Lepisosteus oculatus: one gene and its partners. The protein of the gene in region 1 interacts with the protein of each later gene in a pairwise test. Links are inferred from orthologs where the notes say so. Each region holds a gene or a part of one and is shown in the gene's direction. Other genes may lie near its edges.

The links.
Region 2: the proteins of dusp12 (region 1) and ppp2r3b interact in binary tests that used the Homo sapiens proteins (3 or more experiments, as listed by UniProt). The two-hybrid records come from large-scale screens. The link is inferred for Lepisosteus oculatus from reciprocal best matches to the Homo sapiens genes DUSP12 and PPP2R3B.
Region 3: the proteins of dusp12 (region 1) and eif5 interact in binary tests that used the Homo sapiens proteins (3 or more experiments, as listed by UniProt). The two-hybrid records come from large-scale screens. The link is inferred for Lepisosteus oculatus from reciprocal best matches to the Homo sapiens genes DUSP12 and EIF5.

Annotation. Positions count from the first base shown.
Region 1 is NC_090704.1:8,624,612-8,636,150, forward strand, and holds the start of dusp12 (dual specificity protein phosphatase 12), read left to right. Parts: upstream 1-6,419; 5' UTR 6,420-6,622; coding exon of another isoform or gene 6,623-6,653; exon of another isoform or gene 6,654-6,949; intron 6,950-9,557; 5' UTR 9,558-9,658; intron 9,659-11,539. UniProt on the Homo sapiens protein: Dual specificity phosphatase; can dephosphorylate both phosphotyrosine and phosphoserine or phosphothreonine residues. Can dephosphorylate glucokinase (in vitro).
Region 2 is NC_090710.1:4,468,118-4,478,695, reverse strand, and holds the start of ppp2r3b (serine/threonine-protein phosphatase 2A regulatory subunit B'' subunit beta), read left to right. Parts: upstream 1-6,095; 5' UTR 6,096-6,187; intron 6,188-10,578. UniProt on the Homo sapiens protein: The B regulatory subunit might modulate substrate selectivity and catalytic activity, and might also direct the localization of the catalytic enzyme to a particular subcellular compartment.
Region 3 is NC_090703.1:6,762,956-6,774,110, forward strand, and holds the start of eif5 (eukaryotic translation initiation factor 5), read left to right. Parts: upstream 1-5,877; 5' UTR 5,878-5,978; intron 5,979-6,230; 5' UTR 6,231-6,439; exon of another isoform or gene 6,440-6,476; intron 6,477-6,616; exon of another isoform or gene 6,617-6,921; intron 6,922-7,699; 5' UTR 7,700-7,907; coding exon 7,908-7,979; intron 7,980-8,441; coding exon 8,442-8,523; intron 8,524-8,723; coding exon 8,724-8,896; intron 8,897-9,653; coding exon 9,654-9,765; intron 9,766-10,216; coding exon 10,217-10,341; intron 10,342-10,725; coding exon 10,726-10,884; intron 10,885-11,155.

The DNA of each region.
Region 1 (11,539 bases):
AAAATTCACATGACCCTCATGCTAAAAATGAGGCTCTTACATAAAGGGTTATGCAGGAATTAACAGTTCCTGGTATTGTGCATTTGCACCAAAAAAGCCCAAAACATAAATTAACTCATTACAATTCTGTACAGTTTTATATCTTTCTATAAATACTGAGCCTCTATAAACTAAGGCATCAACATGCATTTAAAAAGCAAATAGACAGTTTTCTGATGACATGTTTCTGATGACAGATTATCTAATGATTAACCAAAAGTGAGCAGAAAAGTATAAAATGACACAGAGACTGGAGGGTTTTCAGGCTGCCAGATTCCAGATATGCCAATCTAACAATGTTTTGATTAATTCAAATACTTACCAGGTTCGTTAAATATTTTCTGCCTAATTCTTTAAATTTTATCTCTGCTTCCTAAAACAAAGACATCTTGAATATGCGTGGACTTATTAGACTAAAAAGCATGGGCTTGAAATGTGATAATTGAATTTAACATAATGTTAATGATAAAGGGTTTTATTTATTTTCTCAATTTAAAATACAGTTAATATAAAACTAAGAAAATACAAGCAAGGAATGTGGCATGGTTCTTTTTCTCAATCTGTCTCACTCAGCTGTTTATCTAATCATTCACTGTGACTACAAATGTCATCTTATGCACAAGATCTAGTTTTTCTTTCATTTTGAAATAAAAAAAAAAACTGTCTTAAGTTTACAGGTCTTCACAATACGAATTTATGTCCCACACAAATAATATAATATACACTGATAGATTAGGTCATTTTAGTTCAATCTCAAATGTCATGATAAAACTGATTCAGCTGTAAGTGGCTTTTCTTTTATCACAAAAAATATATTGACAGTTGAATGTCACATGTATTTGTGAGACAGACTTAATCTACCTGTTTGAAAAGAATTAAGAAATATTCATGAGTAATTTGAGCACACGAAGCTTTAAAAATAGCCTGATCCCAACTAGAGTGAACAAAGAAAAGTACTAATTTCACAGGAGCTGTGGTTGAACACTCTAGGATGAACCAAGCATGGCCAGCTGCTACAAAAAAACAGCTTATCGTCAGCCCGACACTATGACAAGACAGAAAATTTACAAGATGATACTTAAAAGTTCCTATCCGAACACAAAAGTGAACACACATAGGAACTGAAAATATGAATATTACCTTTTAATTTCAATAAAAAAAAAACATGCCATTCTCTGAATCTAGGATACTTACAGTGCGGGTAGCCAGAAGATCCAGTAACATTTTCAAAAGGAGTTGAATGTAGTGGGTGCCACATAGTGAGATAAACTAAATCATTTCCAGCACATACAGCAGACAACAGAGCTGTGAAACCCGACACGACAAGTGGCTAAACAGGAGCGAAGATGCAAAAAACAAAAGACTGTGCCCGGTGCTGGATTAGAAAGATTATCTTCAGATCAGTCCAAGAAGAACCGTTTATTGCTGCAGATCAGATTATTTTTCATCAGGCTCACAGCGTCAGTACAACTATCTGCTCAGGAACACCTGTTGTTTTAGCAGCATGTTTTTCAGGAGCTAAATCAGCCTACAGTTCTTCCAACGATTTAAGAGTTGCAGAACGCAGGAGTATTATCTGATTTGGCTGACATTTGGCTGCCACAGTAAAACCTGGGTGTCTAATGATATTAAAAATGTGAGCAAATAACCTCTGTAGCTAACATTTAATTTGCTTATGGAGTAACATTAAAATTCATGGTCTTCTTTGTTTTCAAGGTATACAGTAAGTTCTTTTTTCTTAAGTCATAATCAGAAGTAAGCAACTGAAAGTGTTGCTTCTTTCTGAATGTCCCCAGTAGCTCTGTAACTACGAATGCTGTAACTAGGGCACATAACATGCTCATTAGAAGACAGAGTCGTTGCACATTTGGTAATTGTCACAGTTGCGCTGCATATCAGTGCATGCTGAATGTTATCTAATAGATTCTTTATTTCCATTTCTATCTTCTTCTGCACTGAGAGAAATAACACAAATTAAAAATAACAGACAAATTCAACTGCAGTAGCTAAAAAGGCCCCAGTATACCTAACTGTAAGAGTTCTCCAGTTTTGGGAGTTACGTTTTAAAGCGATAAAATATCAGTAAGTGTCCACTGCCAAAAAAAAATAGATGTTTAACCAATACAAACCTCCTTCCAAACAGATTTATACAAAGCAATTTAAGCAGAAACCACTTAACCACTTCCAGGTTATGGTACTGCTTTTGCTGTAATGCAAATAATGGCTGCTAAATGTATATACAGTAAAGTATATTGTGTGCCGTGTTGACATCCTGTATTACCATGTTAATTCAAAAATCACATTTATGAATTAAGTTGATGCCTCAAGATCATAAAGATAAACATAATGTGTAGAGATAAAAAAGACTTTACATTAAGAGCACCCAATTGGTCACATCAATTTAGAGTAATATTAAATCTTAATATTGCTTTCTAGATTTAATCTTCCTCAGGCTTGCTTGATTTTTAGTAAGTAAAACATTTGCTTTTCTCTATGAATCTGAGTCACTTTAAATCCATTGAAATCATAACTCACAATAGCCAGGCTGGGAACAAAACAGATCACATTATGCTTTCAAAGTGCATTACAGGTGAGCCACCAAATCAATCCCTCTCCTAGAGTCCCTTTACAACATCTGCTGATAAAAATGGCATTTGCATACGTAAAGAGACAACATGGGCTTTGTACCTCCTATTAAAGCACATAATTAAATAAATGTTAGCGGTACATGGGTTCATGTTTCAAAGACAATAGCGTTTGTCTTTGAAAGCATTTCAAGATTACATCTCAAAGTAGCAAGAAGGCTGTGAATCATTTCGGCTTTCAGAGACCCACTAGAAGATTAAAGTAATAGAAATTCAACTAGGGCTCAAATTCAATCAGAACATCCAACCTACTGCCAATTACAAATTGAAAAAGTAATACTTGATAGGGGCTTTTCTTTGGGTATCTAGCAAACAATAGGTGGCCATCGAGAGACACATTCTGAATATGGTCAAATCTTGAATTTAATCCAGATGCAAGAAACACAAATATTAATTTCCAGAAAAATATCAGCAAATGTGGTAACCCAAACACAAATTGAGGCATGTGAAAACAAAAATTCCAATCAAGCAATTTGATTTTAAATTTTAGATTTACAGTATTTTTTTCTTCATGGAATAAAGGATACTGTATCAAGTTTAATATAAGGAGGATAAACAAAAGTACATACTATCCAGACCAATTACATTTCAATTTCCACATCATGAAAAATAACTACATTTTCATTTTGCACTTTTTATAGCATTACTTCATCACCATACAGTATTTTATATCTACACAACAGTAATTAAGCTTGCACAATAACAAGGAACATAACATAAATGTGTCTGACCAGCTGGCCTTAAATCACATACAGGGTTTGTTAGTTTTGATACTATTAGATAATACCAGTGAACTGACTATCCTCTGAAAAGAGCTTGACTTCATTATAACCAAACTGTTTGGTTTATAAGACTGTAGGTTTCAGAATCAGAACTTCTTATTTTTTCAGGCTATGACCTATATATGATCAGTCACATACAAGCTTTACTACTAAACTTTTATTTTAAAACACAATCCCAATTTCCTTCCATGTTTCTGAAACTAGAAAAAGGTCTTAATAAGCAGTATTACACCTTTGGACATGAAACAAAACACAGTGAACCAGAAGATTATCGTACTCGGTACATAATGAATTGAATATAATTCAATTAATTCATTGGTATCAGCAAGCCTTGAGGCAGACTGTGACATTAGAGAACATTACGGACTGCAAGACAGAACAACCATGTTACGGAGACATTTTGAAACCTTATAATAGAAATCAAAAGTATCCCATTTACAAAGAATTGAGGGGAGAGGAAGAAGTATATTACAAGACGAGTTGTTAATGGATGCTGTGAAAATGAACTACAACCCTTTTTTTTTTAATCTCAGTGGTCAGCAACACAGAAGGATCCTTAGATCCTGTTTTCTTGCAACCTAGTTCATGAAAATCCACAAATGCTGTCCCTGTGTAGATTCCGTAATGCAAAAGATAAAACATAGCTTAGCTGAGAGCAATAAACAATCCTCGTTCCAATTTCTTATGGAGTATTTGATGAAATAAATACACTCTCTTCCACAGCAATAATGTTAGAAAATAAATTAAAATAAATTTTAAAGTAATTTCCTGGAGTGCAATGAATTTGGTGACTTTCTGCATTTCATTTAAGCTGTGTAATTTTAGAGGTACATTTAACACATAGAAGGATTCACTCACATTTTGTATAACATCTTATAACATCATTTTGTATAATTATCTCAGCAAATGCGGTATAACAGTTTTTAATTTATTTAGTAGACAATTTATTTTTCAAGATGCTATTATAATTCATTATGACCTCTGACATGCTTACCAGACAGTAAAATATTTACTGATCTCATACCAGTGGTCACTGGGAAGGCTGATTTAGTTTAAGTGCGTCTGTATGTAACTTTCACATTAAGCAATTTCTCCCAAGGACAGATGACACTGCATGTTTAACCAACAGAATGCAACACACTCTGAAACTAGTCAGCTTGCAATCATGCACTGTTGTAATAGTGTAAAGCAATATTTTTTTAGTGATTCAATACTGAAGATAGCACATTATAGTAATATTTAAAATATTCCCAAAGTTGTCCAAGATATCCACCATCCATCGTCAGTCCACTTATCCTGGTTTGTAGGACACAGCCACATATCCAGTCATTCCCGTGAATGTTAAATGTGAAATTCCACAAAATAGTCTTTGACATCTACAGCTCAAAAAATACAACACTAATATTAATATTGTTATGACTCCTAACTTTCACAGATGTTATAAACACGCAATTTCTTGCCTGAAAAGCGTTACTTGATGCTTTAGAGAACACTAGAGTAACACGGCTATCCAATCAGAAGCAACAACTTTAGATCATATCAGTGAGTATAATCAGAGACCAAGGTTTAAAACAACAAATCCACTGTACTCTGTCATACTGTGGAGCAGCAAGAGCTCTCAGATCTTCAAACAAGGAAATTATTGACACTGGATGTCAAAGTCCACAGTATCAAACAAATCTCAGGTTAACACAAATACATTCCACACAACAGTTTTCTCTGCCCTACACAACACTATGCAGCAGCAACAACTGTAGGCCTAAATATTAATTTTGCTGAAGCCTTTACCCAGAACAAAATGTGTATTAAAGGACAAATTTAAGGTGACATTGAAACAGTATTCAGCTATACAGTTATGTTTCCCAATTTTACTATCACTTTTTAAAATCTTTAAATTAGTATTTTAAAACAGAGCTTCACAAATCCTTGCTTTAACTGTATTAAAAGCAGTTGTTGACAAATAAACTATTTTTAAAGATAAATCAACATGACAAGACTTTAGCCATAAATCTATCTTAACCACAGCTGCCAAATAACGAGAAACATCTTTATCTTTCCACACATTTATTTGGCACCTTCAGGTTATATAGGTTATATCGTGGATGACCTCCCTAACAATTCTTAGGCAGCAGTCACTCAGTACTCAGTACTGAATTCAGACGTATATAGAAAAAGCCATACAGATTTTGTTTCTGTATTCACTTAAGATCTTTCATAAAAATCAACTTTCGTTGACTGCAATTCACGGAAACAGCGCAAAAACCTATGGAAAAACCACATGCAGGCGCTGTGTCCTTACATCTTTTCCATAGATGGAACAAGAAACGAAATATTCAGGTTTGTCCGCTTTTTCTCAGGTTCAAGCCATCGTGTTGAAAAATAATGTTCCATTCCCTGTCTATTTGTTTAATATCAAGCCTTAGCACGGTGTTGTGTATCAATGTCTGTAACGGGCAAATTATAGCATCAAAATTGCAAAACATTCAGACGTGCGACTACATAGATCTGTCCCAAGAAATCTGGTATTAAGCTACACACGCATGTGGACTCCTTAACAAATATGCGTTATATCTGTACTTTGAAAAAAAAAAAAACTAATGTATTTAAGGCAGTTGTACTGTGCCCATTAAGACGTCTTTTCTAAAAACTGTCCAGCACTGTACATCAAGTCCCATTTAGTTAGGTTGGCCAGTTGAACTTTTCTGCAAAGTGGCAAAAAGTCCCAGCTCCTCTTACAAGTACTTGACGTCTTCCGTACCATTGCAGACTAATAAATAGCCATTCAGCTGCAAACAGTTTAGTAGGAGACGCGCTAGAAAGGCCATATATTACATAAGAGTAATTAAACTGCTAACCCCTGACCCTGTCTGAGAGAGGGAGAATTGCTATCACCTGACTTTCTACACTGGCACAGCCTTCTTGTCAATAAACATTACTGCAAGACAAGTGCTAGCTAAACAGATAACACGGCCATTGGATTTATATCCCGTCTAAAGTCCGCTGATGGAATTCAGTTTGCCAGACCCTGCAATTGGAAAAGGCAGGGGAAGCACGCCGTGCAGTACATCGCAAGCATGGCACACGGACGGGAAAACTAAATAACACTGCACAAGGAACCGACGACGGTGAAATGTTCGAGGCGGAAAGGCCACTTACTGAGGTGCAGAAAAGCGTCATTATTATCCATTGCGAGATGAGTTTATTTGCGGGGTGGTTTCCTTAGGGTTGTTGTAGCTGCGCCCGTCACAGACAGCAGCATCTCCCTCTGAATTCCTCTCCCCAACCCGACTGAACTCTCACTGCTGCTGCAGCAGGACTGGCACACAGAGGGGCCCCGCTAAGGGGGTGGCGAAAACTGGGATAATCCCAACGACCGCATCACTCGCTGTTATCATCAGATCAGGGTTTCCGTGTAACCGCCCGGTTGAAGAGCGGTCGCATCCCCGGACAGCTCTTGTATTTATTTTGGACATTTTCAGATTTTCTGGGAAAGGACATTTCGTGAAAAGAAAGACGGAAAATTTTCCATCCCGAGTGGTGAACGTCGGCTAACCCAAGCGCGCTCTCTCCTCCTTTAAACCACAAAACGCGTTTTTATATCTAACGGTGTTATGTTTTACGTTTAAAATAAATAACATTGTTGGATTTTGTTGTCTAAACATTTCATTATCATCAAAAACACCCAGAGTTTTAGTTCTTGTTTACTGATATTACAGTAAAACATAATTAAGCTCATACTTGTTACAGTATCAACACACTTAAACTCAGCCCCCCGTCATTTTATCGAGGAAATAATATTGTTTGAAATTGACGAAATGAACGTGTATAGGGTAATGCTGCTTTGAAAAGGCTGTGTTTTAGTAACAGCTACTTTGAAATTCAGGAATCTTGGCAATCAGGCTGCCAAGTATTCGTGAAAAGCGCTTAATTAAAAAGTCTAATTTGACGCTTTTAAAATCCTACGGTCATATTCCATTATAGTAGCAGTAAAGTAAGGCTTTATTCGCACGTCCAACATTTTACAGTTTTAATTACCATGCAATGAAAAAAAAAATCATTTAACAACGCAACTTTTAGGTAAAAATTAAAAAAAGTCATTTATGTGTTTCTAATGTTTCTGTCCTTTGCTAATTAAGATACCACATTGACTTTAACAACAAAGTAATATTATTTGAGATATTCCCAAAATATCAGTAAAAGTAGTTTGTTTACAATTAGGATCTTGTAACAAAATTGCAAACAAAGAATGGAATATGTTTACCAACATTGTAACCGTATTTTTGTAATACAGTCGCTATTCGTGTTTAAAGATGAAGGGTTTGAGGGAGAACTGGTCAATTTATTTAAACACTGAAGTTCTCATTGTTGGTCTGGAGACCCCTTGGAAGCACCCAGATCTTTCCTCAGAGTTAGGGGTCATTTAAGGGTGAGCTCTCAGTACCTCAGAAGGTTACACAGGAGTCACCAGCATTCACAATCTTGAACTCTGTTTCTGGAGACACTCCGTTTAGTGTTCGGGATGACCACTCAGCCTCCTTGCTCTTCAATCTAATGGGAAAGGCATTTCGGCTCCCACCCTTGTAAAAACGGGTCATAAAAGAACACAGGAGGATGCTAACAAAGACAAATAGCTTTTTTTCCAACTCATTCCACACTAATCAGGGCTTTTCATTTCTGCCCCCATTAGATAATGTAAATTCATGAAAGTCAAAGAAAAGGACTAAATGGCAATTTATCAATCTCTTCTTTTATCTCTCTAATGGAGGCACATGGTTTGGGACATAACCCTTGTTATATTTTACTCTAATCGGCTTTTTTTGTCTGTGTAAGTTAGCGTAAGGTTCTGTTATGTAGTTGTCGTTTAGACGAATTATGTATTATCTGTACTCTTTACGGTTAATCTGTTGTATCTGCGTGCAAATACTGATAAGTAGATTCACTAAATTAGGTGCTTCTGGAAAGGAAACCTTTCATATCAAACCTGTACTGAAATATATATAGGTATTGCGACCTATTGTAGAAATTTGAATAAAATAATACAAAAGTCTTCCTTTTGGTTTGGAAGATTAAACAGTATATTCCACAAGACTTCTGTAAGCTCAGACAAACCTACCAGCTCTTAGCATTAGTTTTAGAAAGCAATATGCCTAAAAATAAAATTGATGAAAAAATACACTTGAAAAAATAATTTAAAGAAAATAATATAAATAGGTGTTTGCGCTGTGATTTCAAGAGAATAAACCTTATTGTCCTGTTCTTGTGTGCATTTTGCAATACAAGTACTGTACTGGAGGTGCATGTAGATTTTACCTTTTATATGAAGAAATAAAAAAAATCTTTAATATATTTCTGTCACTTAATGCAATGTCTTGGGGTTTTTTTCTGACCTGGTGCTATACAGCCTAGCAGCCATGAATCAGACAAAGGGGTATTTTATGGAAAGTTAATGACTCAATATCAGCACCTCACTCCTTGTTTTGAAAACCTCAGGACAATAAAGTGATGGTGAGAAAAAATGACAATAATATCACTATTTGACTGTAACAATTGGCCTAGATAATTCAATATACCGGGTTCACCACACCCTCCTGCTTTCCGTCATCACCTAAAATCTCAAAGACCCTCCCCCCACAGCATAGTCAACGATCCAGACCTCCTGTGGTAACCCTTTTGTATTCACAACACTATCCAGCCAAACAATGACCTCTGTACTAATCCCTCATCCCACACTACAAACCTGAACCACCTGTCGATGGGCACAAACAGTAGCAGAGCTTGCACTTTATAGGATTTTCACAAGTAAACCTGTCTTGGATTCTTCATGGAGTAATATGTGCTGTTCTTCAGGAGGTGTAATTGCATAGATCTCTTCTGTTTTTTGGTGCTTAAAAAACATTTAATTATTTCATCCCAAAACCTCCCTTTGGACACGGTTTTGAGATATTCTGTTGCACTTTTTTTTCTGTTACATCTCTTCTTAGTTATTAACACACTGACTTTATTACTTTGCATTTATAATAGAACTTGATTTCCTATAACACATGGAGTTCAAATGTAACAGTCTTTTATATAAATCATTTTTTCATTGCAGGTTCATTCCAGGTGGATGCTGCACATTGGTGGTGGTGGAGGGGAGCCCCCATTGCCTGTAAAGCGCTTTGAGTGGAGTGTCCAGAAAAGCGCTATATAAATGTAAGCAATTATTATTATTAATTTTACCATTTTTTCCTGCTGAAGTAGTTTGAAATTTGAAGAGAAAATGCTAGGAGGAGACAATCTGTTGGGAAATATAGGAACTTAGTATTTCAATTTTCCATGTTAGCTTCAGCAAAAAAAAAAAGGATCTTATAAAACACTTGGACTTGTCACCCGCTGTGGAAAATTACCAACAGCAGACTTGGATGCCATTGTTATCTATATAAATTGAATCTGAATAAAATTTCATCTTCCATGATATTTTATTACTGCCTTCTAATTATTGACTAGGACTTAAAACCAGCATATTTCTACAACAATTCTTTAAAACAGTAAATTGTAACTATATTTTGAATAACTTGCACAATTCATAACAGAAAGAAAACAGTTGTGTGAAACTACTGATAAAACACATACTGATATGGCAAACGCTATAATAATATTATCTTCATTGTTTATTCTTAATGTCCAACCCCAACATACCAATTAGTTGCAGTGGTAACGTTTGTTTATAATGCCGAGGCAAATCAAAGGGAACACAGCCTTTTTGTCTAATCTAAGACAGAATGATTTTGGCTCTGCTAAGAAAGCATTTTCTCCATCTGTCAAGCATTCATTAGTTAGGCACATCATGCTTTATCAAGTCCTAAACAGGCCAAAATGATAAGTGCATCCTGCTGGATTGTGGCTGTGATGAGACCCTAAACAACAATTTTAAGTATCATCAATCTTATGGGTCATCAATCATGAAAACAAAAGATGAAAAATGTTCATGCCTCAGTTGTTACGTCTTTATTTTTACCTTAACATTTTGTAAAGGCAGACAGAAAAGAAAATCTTTCATCAGTGGAAGAATAAGAAAACCTGCTGCAGTAAAAAAATGTTGTTGTCCAGGGGGCACAAGGCTCCAAGGTTTATTTCAATTTCATTTCTTTTGTCATTCTCTATAAAGCCTGTCATCTTTCACTGTAGTACTGATTACAGATCTCCAAAACTGGACTTGCCAAGGTTTTTGTGTATGTGCAGGCACGAAATGGGGCTTCTCCTTTCATAAAGAAAAGGAACAAGCATCAGTGTTGAACCTTAAATATCTGTGTTAATTCTGATTCTAATGCAAATAATTATCCGATGAGAGTGAATGTCTGGAAAATGCAGTCATATTCATAATTTTTTATAAAACCATTCATGCTTTTGTTCATTTGTAATAAAAGACAATAAGAGATTGATTAATGAACAAAAAATTGTGTGTGAGGTGTGTGACACCTTTTTATTCGTCTAGGTGACAAATAAACAGCTTTTATCACAAAGATTGAATGCCTTCACAACACATTTGTTTCTGTTTGTTCTTCAGAAAAGTTCATAATCATTCTTTGGATTCTAAAGGACAGTGTGTCATGGTAATCACCTTATGGTTTTCATGAAATAGAAAGAAAAGTCTTCAAGAAAGAGTGTAGAGATGTATGGGATTTTCCCAAACAGAACGCATATGAATGCTGGGTTTAAACACACACACTTCTTTATGTGAAAAGTTTACCACAGTGGAACCAACACACAACTTCTGTGTTCATATAGTTAATTGATTTTTTTACATTTTTCTTACAAGGTAAGCCTTGCATTACATATTATATAGTTTTCAGTGTAAACTCTATTTCATGTTGGTGTCATACCCATTAACTTCAGTTTCTTTGTAGAACAAAATCTTGTTTTCATGTTCTCGTCTAAGAAAAACAACAACATGAATCTTTCAATACCATTACTTCATAAAATGCATTGTATTTCCAGGTATAGTAAGATATAGACAAATGTAAAACCGAATTGGAGCCATGGGATTTTCTTTGCAATAAAGGAGTCCTTTGATTTCAGTATCGAAGCATTTAC
Region 2 (10,578 bases), on another chromosome or scaffold:
AAAATAAAAAGTACTGTACTGTACATTATTCTTCAAATTCGATGTAACAACTGGCACTCCTGGGCCACCTAGTGCTCAAAAGATTTTTAAACCTAAAATCCCTTAATGAAAGTAGAAATTCATACAGTATGAATTGTGCCAACCCCAGAAATCATTTGTAGCTTTTTAAATGTAAATGTATGTGAGAATGCTTTACTAATATGACCTATGTACCCATGTAATGGGCATTTCACATCGTAAGGCCTCTAGAGGATCAGAAGAAGTTTGGAAAGTATAACAGTGTAAATAAAACATTCCTGCATATGATGTTTTTTTTATTCTTTTATTTAAAACGTTAAGGTCTTTTGTCCCATAATTTAGGTCCTCATTGAACCGACTCCTGTCAGTCTTTGTAACTACAGCCTTCATGTGTATGTTACAGGGATTATTCATCACTCCTAATGCTCAATGGCATTTTTTCAAAGACTGGCAAGAGACTGTTGAATGTGGTGCGTCTGGTGGAGTCATCTTCACATCTCAGCAGAGGTATGGGGTAAAACACACTGTATGCAGTAGTCCGCAGTGTCACTCATGACGTGACCTGTCGTGGTGATGGGATCGTCTTTTTTTTTCTCTTGCTCTTGATCATTGATGATTCGCTGCTTATCGGATGGGACACAGGTTACTGTAGGGTTTCTCTGATATTATTCGAAAAGCAGATCAATTGGCATAGCTAACTAAACCTTAGCAGTCATCCCAGATCTATACCCAGAGAAACACCAGCTTGCTTTCCATACCCAACAGCATTAAAAAGCTAGTCTGAATACCTACTCAAAAAAGGTATTCACTGTTCTTGTAGCTCAGCATTCAGTTGCTTTTGTGCTTCACTATGTTTCCTATTACCTATTTCATTTTTTAATTGATTTTATGTTCCACATTTCTGTGGTTCCCCGTTCTACACTAATTTATTCTGTGTCTTAAGCTGTTTTACCAATGAAACGATAATTGGAGCAGGGTTAATTTTCACAACTGACCTTATATCTGATTTTCTTAGATGATTAAAATTCTGAAGTAGCTTTCACTCACCTACAGGAATGTAAGTAATGATGGCTGTTGTGTTTTTTTTAAATGGACTTCCAGTGCATCTTAAGAGATTTTGTTTTGTTTACATATTTTTTTTTAGCTTTTCTTCCCATGTTTACAGAAACCTAACACCTGTGCTTGAGGTTTATGCTAAAGCAAGTTTCACATATTGGTATCTTTGTAAAATCTGTCACGCAGCTGAAAGCCTTACCTTGTTTATGCAAACTGTTATTCAGACCACAATGAACCACATGAGCTATGGTTTTTGAAAAAAAAAAGTGCAGTATATTTTCAGTGTCTGGGGTTTCAGAATAGCTTATGGGCTGATATTTTTAAACAGTACAATATTGAAAAAATCCCCCCCCCCCATCCTAAGTCTTCACTCCAGAAAGGAGGCTGTCTGACAAAATTGTGGTTACTTTTTTAGTACAGTAATGATGAATAATAAATCGCTCCACCGTTGCTCAACAAATAAGAAAAGTCATCCACTGTACTTAACTAAAGGAAGCCAGTACTGTACATCTACAGTACCTCTCGTGTAGATAAAAGGTGGTAGAAGGGTGAGATGCTTGGGTAACCTGATCTGTGTGGTGTGATGGCTCAGACATCCAGCTGCAGAACCGATCAGAATCAGAAACGCCTTCATTTGTCAAGTTCTTTTCAGGTACAAGGAATTTACTCTGGTGGACTTGATGCAGCAAAAACATTCTACATATAGCACACATATCATGATCGTAATCCCTCCTCTTAAGGGTGCTCAGGCTCTTTCCACATTTTGGCTGATTCCGTGCACCTGCCCTCAATCCTGCCCCACCTTATTTAAGGCGGGCGTTCTTGCTACTCCCGGCTCTGCATTGGAAGACGGGCGCCCAGAGGCCCGCCTACCACCAAGTCGCCCTATGTCCGCAGCTTGAGGGCATAGGCCGGGGTTCAGAGCGCATGGCCAAGTGATCCTGCTTTTATTCCCCGTCCCTTCCGGTTTTTAACTGTGTCTTGTCTTCGTCTTGTTTGGATTACCCGGTTTAGGACTTTTGGACTTCACCCCAGATTCCCCCCCGGACTCCCTTGGACTTGTTTGCCATGGCCACGCCCCCCGAGCACCAGTTCACTGTCGTCATGCCCCGCTGTTTGTCAACCCCTCCTGATCCTCGTCTCTTCCCCGTTGTTCTACTCCACTCACTTCCAGATTATACCGTCTGCATAGGGTCCTGTTCTACACAACATTACAACACAGACACAAGACAATAGGCTTTATTAAGACAGTGCACATTTCATTAGGAATCCTGGCTAAATAAAAAAACAGCCCCAGGAAAGAAACTGTTCAAATACCGGGTTGTTCAGATTTTAATAGCGTCTCCCTGAGGAAGTTTATGGAACAGGTTAATGAAACCTGCTTAGGAAGGGGTCATCAGCAATCTTTCCCGTCCGCTTCTTTGTTCTGGAATTTCCAAAATGATTAATAGAGTTAGCAATGTTGTTTGAAGGTCACATGATTATGATGGTTCATCATATGCTGGAAGGGATCTTTCCCGGCTGAGTCACTGGCTGTTTTCCTTTTAGCAGCTTGCTGATGTAAACAGCGCTCTCCCAAGTGATGTGATGGAAGCTGATTCCTGGGATCCTTTAAGAAAGGAATAGACAACATTCTTTAAACATTAGACCACAACCCCCCATGGACTGTTACCTTGAAATGGTGGAGTGGCTTGTGTGAACCCCCTGGTTATGGCTAGTGATCCTTGAAGCTTATCACTTAGCAAAAACATCTGAGACCTTCACCATTCAAATAAACAGCTGATCTAATAAAGATCCTCACCTGCATCGTAGATGTCAGGACCCACCCCTGTGCTCGTTACCTACGAGCGCCTGATGACCAGGCCACATTGCATGCACATGCAGCATTTCAGGGTACAGCACAAAACAGAGACAACATTTAGGCCCAACATCCACAAAGCAAAGAGTGAGGGTGAAGAATCCCAACAGAATGGGCACTGGTAAATGCAACTGACTATTGGAACCTGGGGTGTCACTCCTGTGGTGAGGAAGGAATCAGACTTGGTGGAGGAGTTGGGAAGGTGCCAAGGAGATACTTGTCTCACCTTCTTAATTGAGGGTGGTCTGTTTGCTGCTCTGGAGTGGGCCTGCGAAGGTGTGAGGGGTTGTCAGTCACATACCCATGACTGGGTGCTGAGTTTGTCCCTGTGCACAAGAGTGTCTCTGTGTCTCAGAGGGGAAAGACCTGACTTATTTGTGCCTATATGTGCCCAACATCAGTTCAGAGTATTGGAGGTTTGGCGGGTTTGGAATTACCAATTCTGTAATTCCACTGCGTGACTTTATCTCTCACATGGAGAAAGATGGTGATAGCTGGAGGGGAATAAAAAGAAGGCCTTCCTTACCTCAAGCAGAGCAGCAGATTGTTATTGAAAATGTGTGTTTAACATGGATTATTTTCATAGAACATCATGTTCTTAAATGCAAGGTTATTCGCAACTGTACCTGGAACTGGGGCACCTTTGGCTGAATAATTTTGCCAGGTTGAATGCTTTAGTCTGTCGGAAAGATCTGTAGCATGAAGGGAGTAATTGATGATGATAGGAGCTGTCAAGTCATAGAAGGAGGCCTTTTGAGATAAGCTCATGAACAGGTTTCTCAATTTTAAAAAAGCTGACTGACAATAGATAGATGGATCAAACTACTAAGAATCAAATGAGCAAATGGGTGGACTGGCTTCCTCTCATTGGTAGCCTTTATGTTCTAGATGCAGTTCTAGAATAGTGAGACCATTAGGAATGATGATGAAGTGTGATATTTAACCCTTCCAAAACCAAACCTGGGCCTAGTTATAATGATGGATTAAAACAGGTTTAAGAAGAATGTAAAAAGAACAAGAAAATATGTAATGCACTTTATTTCACAGAGGAAAAAAATATATTTATTCTCAAACATATGGATCTTCACATTCATGAGTTGGTTTATCTGCCTATTTTTTTCCCTGTTTATGCTCTGTGCGGGGTTCCTGTGTGCATCTGTGTCTTTTCCACCTCCCTATTTGCTTTAGCTTAAGATATTACAAGGAGATCATCAGATGGCTCCCTTAGTGGGCTCTGTAGTCAAATCCAAGCTAATGACCTCCTGTGTATTTACAGGATGGTTATGGTGAGCACCATCTGTCTTCTCCCTTCTAGTCCCTCTCCCTTTGGTGTTGCTCTGATCAACCAATCCTGTTGCTGTCCTACAGGGAATTGTGGGATTATTATTTCTTGTACTAATGACAAATCAAGCTGAACTACAATAAGCCTTGTAATAAACTCCCTGGCATCTGAGTAATATATAGGCATTTCTGCCACTTGGCTGATGGAGACTTGGCTCTTAGTTCTGCCAACATTATGACTGCTTTGGGACCTGACAGTCTCTATTCAATTTCCATTCCATGCTTTTAATATAAAGCAAACGCATGCCAAGTACCTTCTAGTAGAGTCTTTATTCCCAGTAACCATTTTAATTGTTCTGTTCCCCTGCCCACATAAAAAGGATCACCATAGCAGTACTTGAAAGTCTCAATGGCTTTCAAATTAATTAAATGATTTAACTAATTTTAGTTATTTTTAATAAATGTCAAGACTACATCTCTACATAACTTAAAACCACCAGAAAATAATATATAATGGGTACTGAAAGTAATAAGATATGGAGGATTTGAATATGAATCCAGCTAGGAGCAAAAACCAAGAAGCCAAAATGATTTAAAAAGGTAAGTAAAAGTATAGTGAAAACACATCACTGCAGTGACCTGTTTATCAATCATTCAATTAACTGATCAAATCAAATCAGAATGCACCACAATGGGAAAGCAATAATAAATGCCATGAAAGCTGGCATTGTGCATTTTACAGTTCCTGGTCTCCAGTTTTCGGCATCTTATCCGCTTGTTCATGGTATACCCTTCTCCAGATCAGAGAGTAGACCCTCAAATAAACACTCATAACCTCAAACTTCACTCCCCTTTTCATTTAAGAGGGCTGTCCTAATATCTTGAGACCTACATGGGTGTAATGTCATACAGAGAAACCTTTTGAGACATTTTGTTTTTTATTGATGGTCTGTAAAAAACATAAAAATAGCTGATTGGTGCGACATTTAAAAAAGGAAGCATATTTCCCCAGACTGTATTTGTTTTGTGAAACAGCTCAAGAATAGTTTTTGACCCCATTTAGTTGCATGTAATGGAGTCACTAAGGTCGTCTTTTACAACCCTCAGCACTACAACAGAGATATTGTGAGGCCACCTGCTGGAGGGGTTGGTAGTGTAGCTGCATAGTTAATTACCTCCACAGGGATGAAGACATTTTCTGAATACTGGGGACCTTCACGTTAACTCCTCGTATCCACAGCAAAAGGCACTATGTTCTTATTACCTCAAACCTCATCCCTTCTTCATTTCAGTCTTTATCCTGGTGCCAAAGATACTGATAGGAGAACTGATGTTCCTCACTACCCCCTAGCAACCCAACCAAATTAAAACAGAGGGCCGATAAGACTTCAGACTATAAGACTATAGTTGGACTGTAAACATGGTATATAATTATACAATAGAGTGTGATATCTACCCCTGTCTTTTTATATAGCCTACTAAAAACAGAAGTTTAAAAAGCTTGTTCTAGAATCAGCATTGTGTATAATCAGTGTAGAACATTTTGATATCTTAGTTTATAGTCCTCTAAGATATCGTTTGTTATAATTGATTACTATTATCGATAAGTAAGCCTGGAAGTGCTTAAATGTAATTTATCCCGCGAACATTAGTAATGTTCACTCGTTCTCACATATGTTCTCTCAGGTTACGAAGGTTAAGAACTCAAAAAGAACAAATTGACTACCAGCTGTTCTCGTCTCAGTACGAATGTTTTTTTTTATCGATGTATATTATTCAAATATACAGAACATTTTCGGCAGAACGGGAGCGACAGTGCTCGGGTCACCATGGTTACAAGTACACAAACCCTTGTCTCGCGATAGTTGTACTGCTGGGCCACCTTGGGAAAAACGAGAGTTTGAGTTCAAAGATAACCGCGTTGACATGAATAGTACGGTTTGTACAGCGTCTTTTTTCTGCAGAGGAAAACGGGTAGGTTCTTTTACTTGAATGTTAAAATTGCGGGGATCTAAATTCAGACCAATAAGCGCCGAGCTCTTAAGCCATATGAAATAGCTTATGTCCTTCGGGAAAGTGCACCGGTTCGGATCGGTGTGTGTGTGTCCAGCGTCTGTGGGAACTAGGCCCGTGGGTTGTGTAAGAGGTATCGTAGTTTTGCACAGTTTTATTGTGCTTTGACACAGGCAAAGTCTTGTCCAAGACACCATCGGTGATTACATTGTAACAATGCACTTGTATTATATATCGAGCATTGCATCCAAGGGGTTGAAATGGTATCAGACGAATATACTTGGTTGTACGAAGAGCTATTATGTAAATAAACAAGAGTCCGAACAACTTTAGTGTAGGCAGCTATTGCGAGGTGGCATGAAAAAGCGAGCGAGTCTTCCATCTCGGCAGATGAGCTCATGGTTACTACGCCTTTTAGGATCCGTGATGCACAATGATTCATAGTTGATAGTATTATTATTGTAGTGGTTAATTTGTTAAAGAAGATTAAATATAGCGAATATTTGATTTCGCGCAGCTGTGTTTACTGTGTGGTGTCGTGTTGCGACTGGTTGACATTTACTTTTCAATTTAAAGGCGGTCTTTGCTTTCCAACGATCTTGAACTGAAATCCAGTCTCACAGATTTTGATCTCACGGTATTCTTCCTCTGTGGTGTACATGCTTTTACCATTTGTAGTCCCATTTAGGGTTAGCAACTGTAAACTCGCGCGTATCCGTTGCTTTCTTGTTTTGTTAACTTATTTTAGTAACTTAATTTAAGAGCGCGTGGGCGCCGCCCTCACCCCCGCACCATCATCACACTATTAAACCCCCAGCCTCTCTCGTCTGAACCTCACAGTGCCTCCTTTCTTACCCAAAACTCAAACACACACTGAAATCTACCTCTACCTCACATGTCAAAAAGCTTACTCTCCATAATTCTCTATCCTTTATTTCATTCTGTTGATGCATGTTTTTGCACATCTGATGTTGTTTTGCACATTACCTGTTACCTTTTGTTGTTTTGCGCACTGCCTGTTGTCTCTGTCTTTCTTTTATTATACAGTTGCATTGTTGTTTTCCTGTACTACTCATCGTCTGAGAGCTAGCTAAATAGCATTTCGTTATACCATATACCTGTATATGAGTATAGTGACAGTAAACTTGAACTAATTTAACAGGCGAGCCTGTTTTCAATATCTAATCAGTTAGTAGTGATAAATAAAGTTTGTTAATCTGGTTGTTATACCTTCGTTTCAGCAACATTAACTATTGACTTCCTTAACATTAACTATACAGAGACCATGTCCCGGGAGTTTAAAATGTATTTAATTCTCTACAGCCCTTAATATTGATGTATGCAATTTCTAAATGACGTCTCATTTAATCTGCAGGTAAAATGGTTGTTACCGATTTTGAAGATTTTTTTTTAAATAGAATTTTTACCCTTTATTTTTAATAGCATAAAGGTAGATGTTGCCGTGTTAGCTCAACGTACTGTACAGCTCAGTAGTAAGGCAGAGGTTTATCATTGAAACAGTTTTCATGCGGCAGTTAAGAACCAGTCTTGCATAGTATCGTATTTGCGCAACCGTCTGTATCGGACTAGGTGCTGTGTTAGGGTGCTGCAGTGTTGGTCTCGGCTCTGTTTTGTGTATTGTGTTTTCTATTGCCTTTGTCTTTAACTAAAAGAAGGCTCATCTATTTTGCGAGGTTTCCTTGACATATCGTTGGGGCTGGTCAATCTTATCACGTTCCATTCTGTTGGAAATCTTTGCTCTAGCTCAGTGGTTCTCAAACTGTGGTACGCTTACCGGCAGTGGTACGCGGAGACCCGCCAAGTGGTACGCCAAATGACCCTGGAACTGTGTCGTGTGCGCTGAAAAATCGGGACGGGTTTTCATATTTTTAATACGTGTCGAATACGCAGCCTACGTACTACGATACAGTGCGCGCTAATACTTCAGTGGACAGAAGAGATACTCTGTAATTCTATACCACTCTATAGGAATGCGTGCTACGGATGCAAGTGACCAATTGTATTTAAAAAAAGCTACTGTATCTCCAGCAAATAGGGAGGAAGGAGAATGTGTGTGATTTTGGAACAATGCTAACGTTGTAAACACAGGAATGCATAGAAATACGTGCTACGAACGCAGGTAATCTTGTGAGCACACAAAAGCGTGATAACAGAAAAATATTTAAGAACTGTTCTAATTTGAGAAAAATACACCGAACGTCTCTGTGTTACGCTCCCATGCACATGAAATAAAAACTTTAAATAAATACGGAAATAAAAACGGAAACGTGGAAAAATGCAAGCTTGCGGATTGCTAAAGCAGGTAAGCTACACTATTTTTGAAGAACCTTATTTACCGTTGGCAAAAGAGCTGACACGTATTATGTGTAGAGAAAAAGCTGCTAAACAGCGACCTGCTGCCCCCCTCCCCCTGAAAGACACAGTCATTCATAGAATTATTGAAATGAAGGATTATATCAAAAGTACACTGATAGAGCACGTTAAGATGAGCAGATGTTTTTCACTGCAATTAGATGAGTCTAGTCGATTTGGCCAATTTGCTCGTTTATGTTAGATACGAGTTTGAGGGCATGTCCCATGAAGACTTTCTGTTCTGTAAACCGCTACCAACAGGAACTACAGGAGAGCACATATTTCAGCTTCTGAATTAATTTATCGAAAAGAATGGCCTTGACTGGATAAAATGCGTCTGAGTTTGTACAGACGTTGCTAGAGCAATGACAAGCAGACATAACGGTGTAGTTGCACGAATTAGATAGGTTGCTCCAGAAATTAATGTACGCATTACAACATCCACCGCGACACCTTTGCCGCCTGACGATTTAATATCTGTTAGACTCTGTTGTGAATTGTATCAAGGCTCGAAAAATTAATTCACATCTTCTTTGCTCAACTAAACAGGCTCACCCCTCTCACTGAAATGGTGCTTTTTTATTAGTTGTTGTTAATGTTTTTTTTTCTGTAAAACACTTTGAGAAGCCACCTTTAAAGGCGCTATGTCAAATTAAGTTTATTATTACAATATTTATTATATGTATGTGTGAGTGTGTGCACGCGCGCTCATGTTGGTTATTGAGAATTTCTGGGGTTCCTATGAGAAGATGACTTGTAGGTGGTACTTGGATGCTTTGGTTGGATTAGGGGTGGTACTTGATCCAAAAAGTTTGAGAACCACTGCTCTAGCTGATCCTTAATTATCAAAGTGGACTTTGGCACATGGCTTAATCACCGATTGGGATCAATCCGTTTGTTCACAATTTATAAGTTATTTAAATTCCTGTAATGGGATAGAATGCAAGTACCAAGTTTGAATATATTGCTTTGCCGTTTGTCTAACGCATCCCTAAAATGTAGGAATTTGAAAATATCAGGAGTGCTTTCATCACTGTTTTGTGCATGTCAGTGCTCAGTTAGTATATAGCTTCTGCAGCTATACCTCTGAGGTTAAGGCGAATGCCAGGTAGGTTTGTTTGTTGTAGTTTTAACAGCATAAAGGTTTAAATATCTGCCCTGAGTTGCTTTCTGAGGTACCAGGCCTGACAACAATATTTCACTGCATCCTGTTTCTCAATTTACAGTCCAGTGGCTTCAGAGGATCTGAGTTATGTTTACCAACTGGAGATACAGTCCAGTTTGAAGAGCAGCTAAAGAATGCAGCAGAAAACCATGAAGCGCATGCAAAAGTCAGAAGTGAGAACTCAGAGGTGTTATGTGTATCCTGACTGCCATATTTACAAACATTGATTCCAGTTAAGTGTCTGCAGGTACCCATGTTTGGGAGCTGTTAGTATGGTATATCAGAATGGCAAAAACGTAGTTGCAAGTAATGGTGGTTTTTGAGTGGCAAGGTGAAGGTGAAGCATTGGAACAGGTTAGCTGTGTAACGAGAAGTGACTGAAGGAAAGCAGTAGGCCAGAGCAGGAAAAAGAATTGGCATGGTTAGGAAGTAAACTGTGAAACTGGTCTGTCACACAGTGGGAGGACAGAAGGAAAAAGACAAAACGTCCGTCCGAGGGGGAGACAGCATAAAACAGCTAATTAAAGGATCAGGTTTCTGGTGAATAGTCAAGGATAGCAGGTTCTTTGTGAATGAATCTTGGGGTGGCCTATACCCATCAGTGAATAAGTAAAGGCCCATAGTGCTGATGGTGATAAAACTGCAAGTAAATGAATCAGTCCAGAGCAGTGCTCTCCAAAATGTTAACCCAATAGGCCAGTAATGGTGCTTGATATGAGTTAAAGCAATCATCCCCTGAGGTTACTTTTGATTTATAAAAAAACAGATTTATTTTTTCATGGAGAAATGTTTTAGATAATGCCTTTTAATGTAC
Region 3 (11,155 bases), on another chromosome or scaffold:
AAGATCAGCTTTCTAAGATCTGAGCCAATAATTTTCTAGTGCAGTGAAGTCCTAGAAATTCCCTGAATGGGTGGGAGACTCAGGGAGGCAATGGGACGCAGATTAGGATACAGGTTAGCAACCAACATGAGCAATAAAAAACTTTCAAGGAAAAAATGCATTGCTCCTAACCTAACGCCACAAAATGTAATGAGCTCACTCTTTCCTTTTTACCATCTGGAAACTCCGTAATTAAGCAACAGATGTTTTTGTTTTGGTATTTCTTTATTCAATCAAAAACCCCAACCCAGAGGATGAGGTGTCACAATAACAATAAAAAAGGTATCAAAGGAATGCAATTTTTTTAAAATCTGGAACTGTTTCATTTAGAAACTAAAAAAGTGTTTCAAAAAGAAAAGTGGGAATCACCATAAGAAGTCACTAAATAATAACTAGTTTAAAATAAGCTGTATGGAAACCATCAGAACGCAAGCAACATCTTGTAAACAGTGTTAATAAATGTAAACAAAGGGATGTTATCTTAAAATGACAAATTCTATAGCTAATTTGAAATATTATGTTAAGGTTTGGTCGCCACGTCACAAAAAAAGGATCATGCTGACAGAGAAGATTGACCAGAGCATTAAAGGAATGTTCCACTTTGACAGGCTAATTAGGACTGAATCTTTTTAATCTTGAGAAAAGGAGCACGAGGCTGTCTGTTGTTTTCTGTTAATGGCCAGGATAATGGCTAGCACTTAAATCCTCAAGGCTCTTGAAATGGGAAACACGCACATTGAGACATTTGGCTAGGGTTGAGTCTGTGAGGTTTGGCCTTGCCACATCGCCAAGGTGCACTTTAGTGTCCACTCTAATTGTAGTGTTCTCCCAGCCAAGTCGGAACTGTGGTGGCTCAGATGGCAAGGAAGTCCAGCTGCTGACTAGAAAGTCCTGGGTTCAAGCCCAGGTAGGAGCTTGCTCTGATTCCATCCAGATGGCTCCCAGGTCCACTCAGCCTGCTTTCCAAGTGAGTACTGGGGTTAATCCTTCTGGGGGTAACAGGCTGACCACCTCACCTCCAGTGTTGGATGGTTGAGAGAAATGGTGGCCCCCATTCCCCCATGGGGCTTTATGGCCTGAAAAGGGACCTTCCTACCAAGCCCAGTTGAAGCATGGGCAGGACACATACCACCTGATCCTTGTGCACTCAGCAGAGGCAGACTAGGAAACAAACACCAGTTCTTCAAATCCCCCAGTTATTCTGTCTTTAAAGTGCACCTGCAGTCTGCCTCTACAGTACATATATGCAGCTAATTTAAAACAGTATTTAAAAGGGAACTGCAGTTCCCTTTTATTATTATTATTTAATAATAATATTAAATTTCGGTAACAGAATAAATATATTGATGTCTAGAAGACATTTTGTTGCCTCATTCTGGAATGCACAACATGGAGCTGCATATACCTGTTCATCTATTTTGTGATGTAAAGTGGAGGTTTTACAAGTTACTGTAAAAGTTATCTTACTTTTATTGTGGTTTGAAATGCACTAATCAATGCTCATGCGTTCCTGCCTAATCAAAACACAATTACAATTTCTTGAGTGCATACTGCCTAGGGAAACTCTGAAATCTTTTCTATCGCAATGCAAAAGAAGGAATCTTTGGTGGCTGCCATTCAGGAGCCCTGTGCACATGCCATTGAATTGCAGCAGATGCTTTTCTGAACAGCATCACGCCAGGCTGCAGGCATCACACCTGCATGGAGCTTTGTGCATTGCCACTGTCAGCAAACAGACAATTGCACCAATAATCCAGCCACTGCATTTCCATTCAGAGTTGCATTGCTCTCCATTTTGCTGAAACATTGCAAAAAAAAGTTACCAGAACCCTATTGTCTCACCAGCTGATAACATGCCTAGAGCTTTCAGGCCACATGCTGACCTCAATTCTGTCGGCAGTCCCAATATTTGAAGTTTTTACAAGTGCTGACCCAGTTAGTCAAGTATTGGATTGAACAGCAATTTAACAGCAGCAAACACCTGTCCCTTTGATCATGTTAGGATTATGTTTATTTAGCAATCACTTTTATTGCATTTCTCACTGAATGTGTCCTTGCTCCTTGCATAAGGGAAACAGGCAAAAGACAGGCTGTCTGAGGTGAGCACATCAGAGCAGTTAGGTAATTGAAGCTTTATTGAAATAATTATATATATATATACAGATGATAATACCATGCAAAATTATTACCTTAGAATTGCTTACAATTTAATTTACACAGTTACCTTATTTGGCAATGAGATACTGGTTTTGATATCAAAATGAGTTCATATCTCAGACACGTGAGGATGTGTTTTACAAACATTTCATTTGATTACCTTTGCCCTTGTCCACCATACTTTCTGTATAATGTTACATCATCATCACCCAATACAGGCTTTTTTTAGGTCAGTGTGAATTTCTCATGAAAAAATCCCATTAACCAATTTTTGCCACATGTCTATAATGTCAACGCCAAGTCCAATCTCTTTCAGTTTAGTTTGTAAAATTTGACCAGCGCATGCTGGCCGATCTGTTTGTGTCCCACCACAGGGGGTCAGACAAAGACATCGGAGGCCCACCTTGGCCTCAGATTTGGTCACTCCCACCCCCACAGATCTCAATGATGGCCAGATCCTATTATAACCTTTTCAGTTCCAAAGTGCTGCCTTGACCACACCACCCACTGGGATTGATCTCCCACTCTCCCTCGTTTCACTGACATTCTTATCGTTTCTTTTTTCCCTGCTCCGACTTCATTCGTATTAAAAACATAACAAAGGTTACGAACGAGAGGAGACCCTTCAGGTGACCTAGCAGCTCATTGATACAAGGATTGCCTCCAGTTGCCTCTGGAAAGAAGCCAGGTTAGTGTCTTCAACAAGCTGGAGAACTTGTTCCATACCTCCACAACTCTTTGGGTAAAAAAGAGCCTCCAGTTGTCATGTGAAGGGCATTTCCCCATAGTTTCAATTATGACCAAATGTGGAGTAATACCAAACTGTTAGACGTTCAGTTGTGAAACACAAACCTGCTTCTCCTTAAGCAATTATTCTTAACACAGGGCTGGACTATCATTTAAAAAACTAAGGTCCAACGATGAGCTGTAAGAAGGTCAGCTGTTAGACATGAGATTCAAACCTTTCCCTCCCTGTGGGATTATACTTATTCCCTCTCTTCTTTCTACACCTTGATGTGTGTTTCACTGATTTTTACTTTTTAGAGTGGAATTAACTTGTACGCGTTCCCAAAACAAATACAAGCATACTACTTCAGCACGCAGCAGAATGGAGGAACAATAATGTAAACAAAATAAGTAAGAAATGATTCACCAGATATTCACAGGCACAATGAACAGACTATGGAAAAGACAGCTTTTAAGAAGAGGCTGGGACTTCACTTTTACTATTACGTAATTTCCCTTTCTTCTCTAGCAATTACAATTATTTCCCTTAATCACCCAAAGATCTATTTACCCCTCTTCTAGAAAAAGGAGAGTTTCCCTAATTAGTCGGTCATACAGGAATATAACGTCTGTCAGTTCAGGCCTGCTTGTGTCACTTCTCCTGGAAATCAGGAAAGATGACCAAGTGCCCTGTTTCCAAGACAACAGGTTCTGCGCTGAGCACGACACACTGCCATCTTGTGTTGGAAGGAGGCAATGACCAGCCTGGGTCCTCTCACATCCTTTAAATAAGAATATAAGCCTATAAAATAAGGCTGAGCAAAACTCTCCCTGGCTTTTCATGACAAAGGCAATTTCATGACAGAAACCTGTGTCAGCGGGTGATACTCCCGCTCTCCCCGCTGACTGTTCCCCACAGATCTGCGGACAAAGTCTTAACCGAATTAACGTCTAGTGACAAAAGTCGCATCTTGTATTGATTTTGTTCTTTGAAGTCTGTTGAAACCTGTGACAGGAAGGAGTGATGTGCTGTCACGCTGGCTGGAGCCTTTCAAGTGCAAAGATGTGTTATGAAGGCCAGTGTGTGAGGGTATGGTGTTTATGCAATTACTTCCAAAAGTCAAGCTGATGTTGTTCTGGCTGTAATGTCAGTTGAGGACTGTGACAGGAAGTATGGAAATGGTGTCATGCCTGCTGTTCGACCTTTAAGTTGAAGAATGCTTTACGTGGCATATGGATTGCCACTTCCCCTCCGGAGAGGGGGTGCGTTTCACTAAATGCGAAAAAGTGTTTTTCGCCTTTAGAAATACGAAACATTCTTGGTTCTTCCTTACAGAGCAACACAAGTGAACGCACGCATACAACACAAAACGCACCATCTCTTGATCAGACGGGAGACTAGACTCGTGTGCTCTTCATGGCTGTCTTCTCGTCAGACCGTTGTAGGAAGCCCCAGGTGTCTATACTGAAAACGCAGCGCCACCGGAGAGCCGCCCGCTCTCGGACCTGTATCCCGGCGACTGCCACCTGTGGGGCTTGTGCGACAGTGAAACAGCACAATGAGATGCAAATCAATGAGATGCAGTCGGCAAGGATACGCCCCACACACACCCAAGCCTCCAGCCACCCACGCCGGACTGATGAGCGAAACTTTCACAACGAACAGAGAAACAGAAGTGGAGGGCAGAAGTGGAAACGACTTGGAAGTGCATTAAAAACTGAGAACAGGGAGCCACTTCTTTACCCACAGAGTCGCAGGAGTGTGGAACAAGCTACCCACCCATGTCTATGAAGCCGATACCCTGATTCTTTCAAGACTAATATGCGGGAGGGGTGTCCGTCATTGTCGAAACGTCCGTTAAATCACGAAGGACGTTTATGAACCCAACCACTCTACTACATGAATAATATATATATATGTATTCTTTCTGGATCTTTCGACTTCAAGTCAGTCAATGAAAATTATTCATGTGCCTTTTTCATCATAAGCAAGCTCTTTATTTCATGTATCGCAAATATACTGTAGAAAATCCGCTGAAGAGTACGAAACAGAAACAGCACCCATAGGCAGCACTTAACCTACCGTTATATGAAAGTATTGATATTCCTGAATTTTAAACCTATGTAGTAGTTTTCATTTTGCTTTAAGAGGTGTGTATTTCATCGTTAATGTGGGGGGAGTCCAGTGTTTCTGATTTTGTAGCCAGTTCCCCTTGAGAGAATGTCGTCTGACATTAAGTCCGTTAAACCGGGGGTTAAATGTATTTCAGAACTAACTATACGTTAAGTTTGTAAACTAGGGGGTTTTGTTTTTTTTCCCCAAGATGAACGATACACAGCCCCTTGTAATTGGATTAGGTTTTAAACGCAACTGGGAACAAGCCTCCATAAAGATCAGTACGGTACTGCTGAAGGGCATCAAGCTCGTCTGCTGGGGTCATCCATGTTTTAATTGACCCATCGTTTTGTATTTGTTTTTTTGAAAAAGCTTCAGCGGTACAGAATTTGTTGAGCGTATGAATGTATTAATGCGTGAATTAAGACAGCTGCCCAGACCTTTGGTTTTCTCGAGTTAACAAAATAATGTTTGCCAGTTCGTCTCGTGACTGCTCTACATGACAACCGCTACGCACATCTAAGCAAAACATGTATAATAAGACATGCGATACTACATACAAAAATACCACATTTAGAGAAAAAAAAAGCGGATTTAGCGTGGTGATCGTAATACTCATATTGTGACAAAAGGCCCCCCAAAAAAACAATTAGAAGATTAACGCGAGAAAACAGGAAACCAGCCCAAATCCCACCGGCGGCGTAAACAATATCGCGAGACTGTTAAGATTCACGAGCGCCGTGAGAACCCCCCCCCCCAACCCTGTTGCGAAAGATATGGACAGGTACCGCCACCAATAATATCGCCGCTCTTCCCCGACGGGCCAATCGCCGGCGAGGAGAGGCGGGGTTGCGTCGACGCGATGGCTGGATTGACAGCGTCATTACTGGCCGAATATCATTCTGGCGACGCGCAGCTCGAGCGAGAACGTTCTAGAGAGGTAAGTGAGCGAAGGGGTTAGAGGACGCTCTAATTGGTGTGAATAAGGCCAAATAATAAATTAAGGGGGTAATAAGACCTTCTATGGGGATCGCCGAATTGCCATTTACGCCTCATGAGGGAGCGTTGTTTAAGCTTGAAGGCTTGTCTTTTGTAGCCTATCGAAACGTGTGGTTACGCAAGTAATCGAATCCGCTCTACAATTAACGCCGATCTGTTTTCCTAACCCCCTCACCCTGCCCATTGTTTCCAGATACCCCATTTTTGAGGGCGTCTCGTGTTTCCCCGAAGGGTTTTATTACTCTGCACCGGAAAACTCTTGCCTCTCCATTACCGGCACCGTCGTCGTGCCGTCCTCGCTTTCTCCAGTACTCAGCCGACCCCCCCCAGCTCCCAGCACGAACACTTCACTGCGTCTCAGGGCGACCAGCGGTGTGTTTATGTCTTTATTTTACGAAAACGGTGAGTACCCGGACGACAGGAGCGACGGATGGGAAAGGTATCGTTTTCCATGTTTATTTTAACCCTTCTGTGTGTTGTTGTGCGTCTGGTTTCGTCCCGTGGTCGGTATTTGGTGTGGTTGCGCTGGAAAATGTGGCGTGCGTGTGTTCAAAATGTGGATCAAAATGGCGTCTCCCCCTTGCACCGTGCTCCCCGTGATAAAATTAGTGTGACGCACTCTGCACCATTTCGCACAATTAGGTGGCCTGTTGTGACTAACCTCTTCTTCTTTAATTAACGGCAGCCTGTACCGCTGCTACCAATCGTTTTTTGTGCCGTTTAACTTGGAGACGCGGATATAAAGCGATGTGCGGTTTCAAAAGTCACCGTGCCCCCCCTCTCTGTCCGTTTGTGTCGCTGTCTGTTTCGCTTCGCCCTTTTTAACTTTTGGGTTGCAATGATGAGTCATCATTTGGAAATACCACCGCTTCAAGGACGATAAGGTTTGACCTACTTTTCAGAAAGTAATACAAATTGTATTCGCTGCGCAAAACCATTACACTCCCAGGAGTATTTTTCATTCGTTGTATTTGAAGGCGTTCCGCTTGCTTTGAGCTGCGGTATTAAAATAATGAAATCAATGTATAGATCGACGTGTTACGTTTTCCGTTTTGCTCTACAGTTTTACGCTGATATAATCTAGTACGTTTGTGACCTCTGTGGCGAAAAAGACATTCATGATAAACGTTAGATGGATTCACAGCGTCACCTGTTATTTGCTTAGTAGCAGCAGCTCCTACCCAGAGGGGCTTGCAAAGCAGTCACAAAATCGATACGGAATTAAAATGCAGTAGGAAAAACACTTCAGGAAGATACACAAGACAAAACTGGGTGAGCACGCGTTGAGACGTGCGGTGCAGGGGGGGGGCGTTTTAAAGTTTGGGGAGGTGTGAACTCCCCGACATTTTAATCTTTAAAATGTCTTGGCCAGTGTCCTTCAGAGATAGTGGATTTAGCAGCACGTGGGAGGCAATGTAGTTCGGTTTGCTTGTTTTAGTTTTCATATCGTGTGCATGTCGTGCATTGCTGGTGTTCTGACTTGCAACCAAAATGTATTTACATGCTAAAGTTGCTGTACCCCAGAATTAAATTGTTTTTTTTTTTTGTTGTACAGTCAGTGTTTCTGTTTAAGCCATTTTCTTAAATAGTATAGTCAGTGTTTCTGTTTAAGCCTATTTTTGAGTGGGGCTGTCCCTAATGAGTCTTTATTCTGTTTTTCAGAGCTGTTGCGCAGCTGTTGGAACCTGTGTGGGGGAAACTTAGCCTACAAGCAAGGAGCTTGCAGCCTCAGTGGCGAAAACTTTTTCATGTCAGAGACCGAGTACACTTACAGTCGTTTATGTCATCCACTCTTCTCCAGACAGAAGATACCAAAAAATTGCAATCCAAGATCTTCTTATCTTGTTGATAAAGCTAATAGCGAGCCAAAATGTCTGTCAACGTCAACCGCAGCGTTTCAGACCAGTTCTATCGCTACAAGATGCCCCGTCTGATTGCCAAGGTGAGGAGGGGCACAGTGGGCTCATTTGACTGAGGGAGAGCTTGGCAGCTTCTTCTAGTGTTGTGAATGACTCAGGACTGCAGTGTTGTTTTGTTCTCAGTAGAAGACTCCTGGCTTTCAGAACTAAAGCCAGATTCATAGCTCCTTAAATTAACCAACTGTATAGAGGAATGCTAAGTAACTGCCTTTCCTGCTCATGTGACTTAGTTGGTTAAATAATCCTTTTGGATGGGGGAACTTTATTGCATACCATCTGTGTCCGCTGAGTTTAGTTTTAGCATTTTTAAGGTGGTTGGGATTTGGAACTAGCAGTTTCCCATCCTAGCAACTTTAAAAATGTAGATTGTCATTTAGGCACTTTATATCCTACTGACATTTTACAGCTGTCTTAGAAGTGTGAATTGATTATTTTTGTGAATTGCAGTCAATAATCTTTTTTTAATGTCTCCCTTCTCTAAACAGGTGGAAGGCAAAGGGAATGGAATTAAGACGGTTATAGTCAACATGGTTGACGTTGCAAAGGCACTTAATCGGCCTCCAACGTGTAAGTTCTAGCCTTGTATCCTTGCAGGGGCATTTTTGACTGACTTTTGTTAACTTAGTAATGGTAATCTGAATGCCTGTTAAACAGTATTTAAAGTTGATTCCTATTGGAAAGAAGCAGCATTTGGGGTAGGGGGGGTAGTGCTGGGTTGCTTTCATTACATTCCACTTGCTTCAGTTGTACGTTTTACTCCATTTTAGATCCCACCAAGTTTTTTGGTTGTGAGCTGGGAGCACAGACCCAGTTTGATGCTAAGAATGACCGCTACATTGTCAATGGATCTCATGAGGCGAATAAGCTGCAAGATATGCTGGATGGATTCATCCGAAAATTTGTGCTGTGTCCAGAGTGTGACAATCCGGAAACTGACCTGGTAAGTGCATTTTTCCTCTTTTTTTTTTGTGAAATCTTGAAAGACCTTCTGTTGCCAAAGCCCAAATTTGCCTTGACTTGTAACTAATAATGGGGTTTTGCTTATAATCCACTGACTGTCTTATGGAGAGGGGTAAACTCCACTGCAGTTTCCTAATTGTATTGAAGTGTTTAAAAGTTCTTCAGAATTCAAGGCCGCTGTCCTTTTGTTGTCTTTCCTCCTATACACACAAAACCTGTAGCCTTTAATATACAGGGTTTAGGCTGGGCAGATTTGGTAGTAATGGAAGCACTCTCCTGGTGTCTGAATTTGAGACCTGCAGTATCCGTTTTCCACTGCAGAGTTAGCCTCTTTTTTTTTTTTTTTTTGCATAACCCTACTGCATTGCAGTTATGTTGAGCTCCCCAGACTTAGACTATCTAGGGCAGTTCTGTTTACCTCCTTTGTGGAAGATGTAGAGCACAATGCAGTTAAGTTTGCTACTTCAGTTCAGTTCCTATGTTACCCCTGATATTTCATAAGCATTTTAAAACTGTCAGGGTTGGTCTTTTGTTATGCTTTACTGGTGCTTTGGAGCAGTTGGCCTAGCTTAAGTGTTTTGTGGAAGCTGAATACCTAATGCATGACTTGTTTAAAACCAAAATGACTGTCTGCTTTGTGACTTAAACAAAGGTACATGTGTAACTAGCTGTCTTGTATGTGTATATTATTCCTCTGTGAATGTTTTTAATTTGGGATTTCTTCTTTACCTTGGTAGCATGTCAATCCTAAGAAACAAACCATTGGCAACTCTTGCAAAGCCTGTGGCTACCGGGGCATGCTTGACACACGACACAAACTCTGCACGTTCATTCTTAAAAACCCACCAGGTGAGTGACAACCCACTTAATGGTTTTTGTAGCTTAAACACATTTACATTAGCTCTTGATTGCATTTGGTGTTCAGGCCACCAATAGATGTATGAATTTACCATGTTTTAAGAACATGCGAGGTTACAAATAAGGAGGTCATGCAGCGCATCTAGAATGTTTGGTTATTAATAATTGATCTCAGAATCTTCCTGCTGTTTCTTGACCGAAACATTGACCTTGTCTTTGTCAGCATGGCTAGATAGTTGCTTCCCAGATTCCTGCAGCTTTTTGCAAAAAAATTAACAGCATGCTTTTTACACTCCTGGTTGTGATACCAGCCAGATTTAAACCCATTTCTTAGTTGTAGTTTATCAATATCTGAAAATCTGTAGCCTTAATTTTAGTGATATAATTTGTTAATGGTATGTTTGGATGTGTTCATTGTAATAACTTTTCCTCTGAAATGCAGAGAATGAGAGTGGATCCGCTAAAAAGGAGAAGAAGGAGAAGAATCGGAAAGGTAAAGACAAGGAAAATGGATCCAGCAGTGGAGAAGCTGGGAATCATAATGAGATAGATGCACCTGATGCCGTAGTAAGTACATAATTGCTGCCTTGGACTTTTGTGTCCTGTTCTTATTCGTAAGTTTAAAAAGTGCTTTAGAAGAAACAAATTGAAGCCAGGTGTAATGGAAGGTAACTGCTGCTTGAAATTCCATTCATTCAGATAGAGCTTGGCCTTCATTTTTCTTCACCCAACCCAAAGGATTTACGGTCTTTTGATTTCATCCAGCAACGTATTTCCAATTGAATGTGTAGTTATGAAAGTACAACTCTGACTGTATAGTCTTCTTGTAAAAACTTGTGAAAGTATGTCTGTAGTTCTGTCTACAGGATTCAAATTGATGAGCTGTCAAAACATGCATCAAGTCTTGTGAGTTTCTAGCTCTTTCATTCACTGAATTTTGCACTTGTACAGGATGGAGATGACGACGATGACTGGGGTGAGGAGACCACAGAGGAAGCTCAGAGACGCAGGATGGATGAGATCAGCGAGCATGCCAAGAACCTGACTCTCACTGACGACTTGGAAAAGACCCTGGAGGAAAGAGTCAACATGTTTTACAACTTTGTCAAGGTGTGTTGATCAGCATGTTTGTTCAAGAGCAAAACAATTACATAGCCTTATTATGAGTACTGTAAACTGTTGGTTTTAGATGAATGTTTCTGTTGATCCTAGAAATTGTGGTACTATAGGAAGTGAAGTTTTAAATTTTATCCAGGGCATAAAGTACCATTTTTGATTTTAGAAAGTTTGTTTTTTTCTGGCAGCTCTGATTCTGATAGCAGTTAGAGGAGAAGCTGAGATATTTGGATTTTACACGTCCCTCCGATAACTACTAGTACCG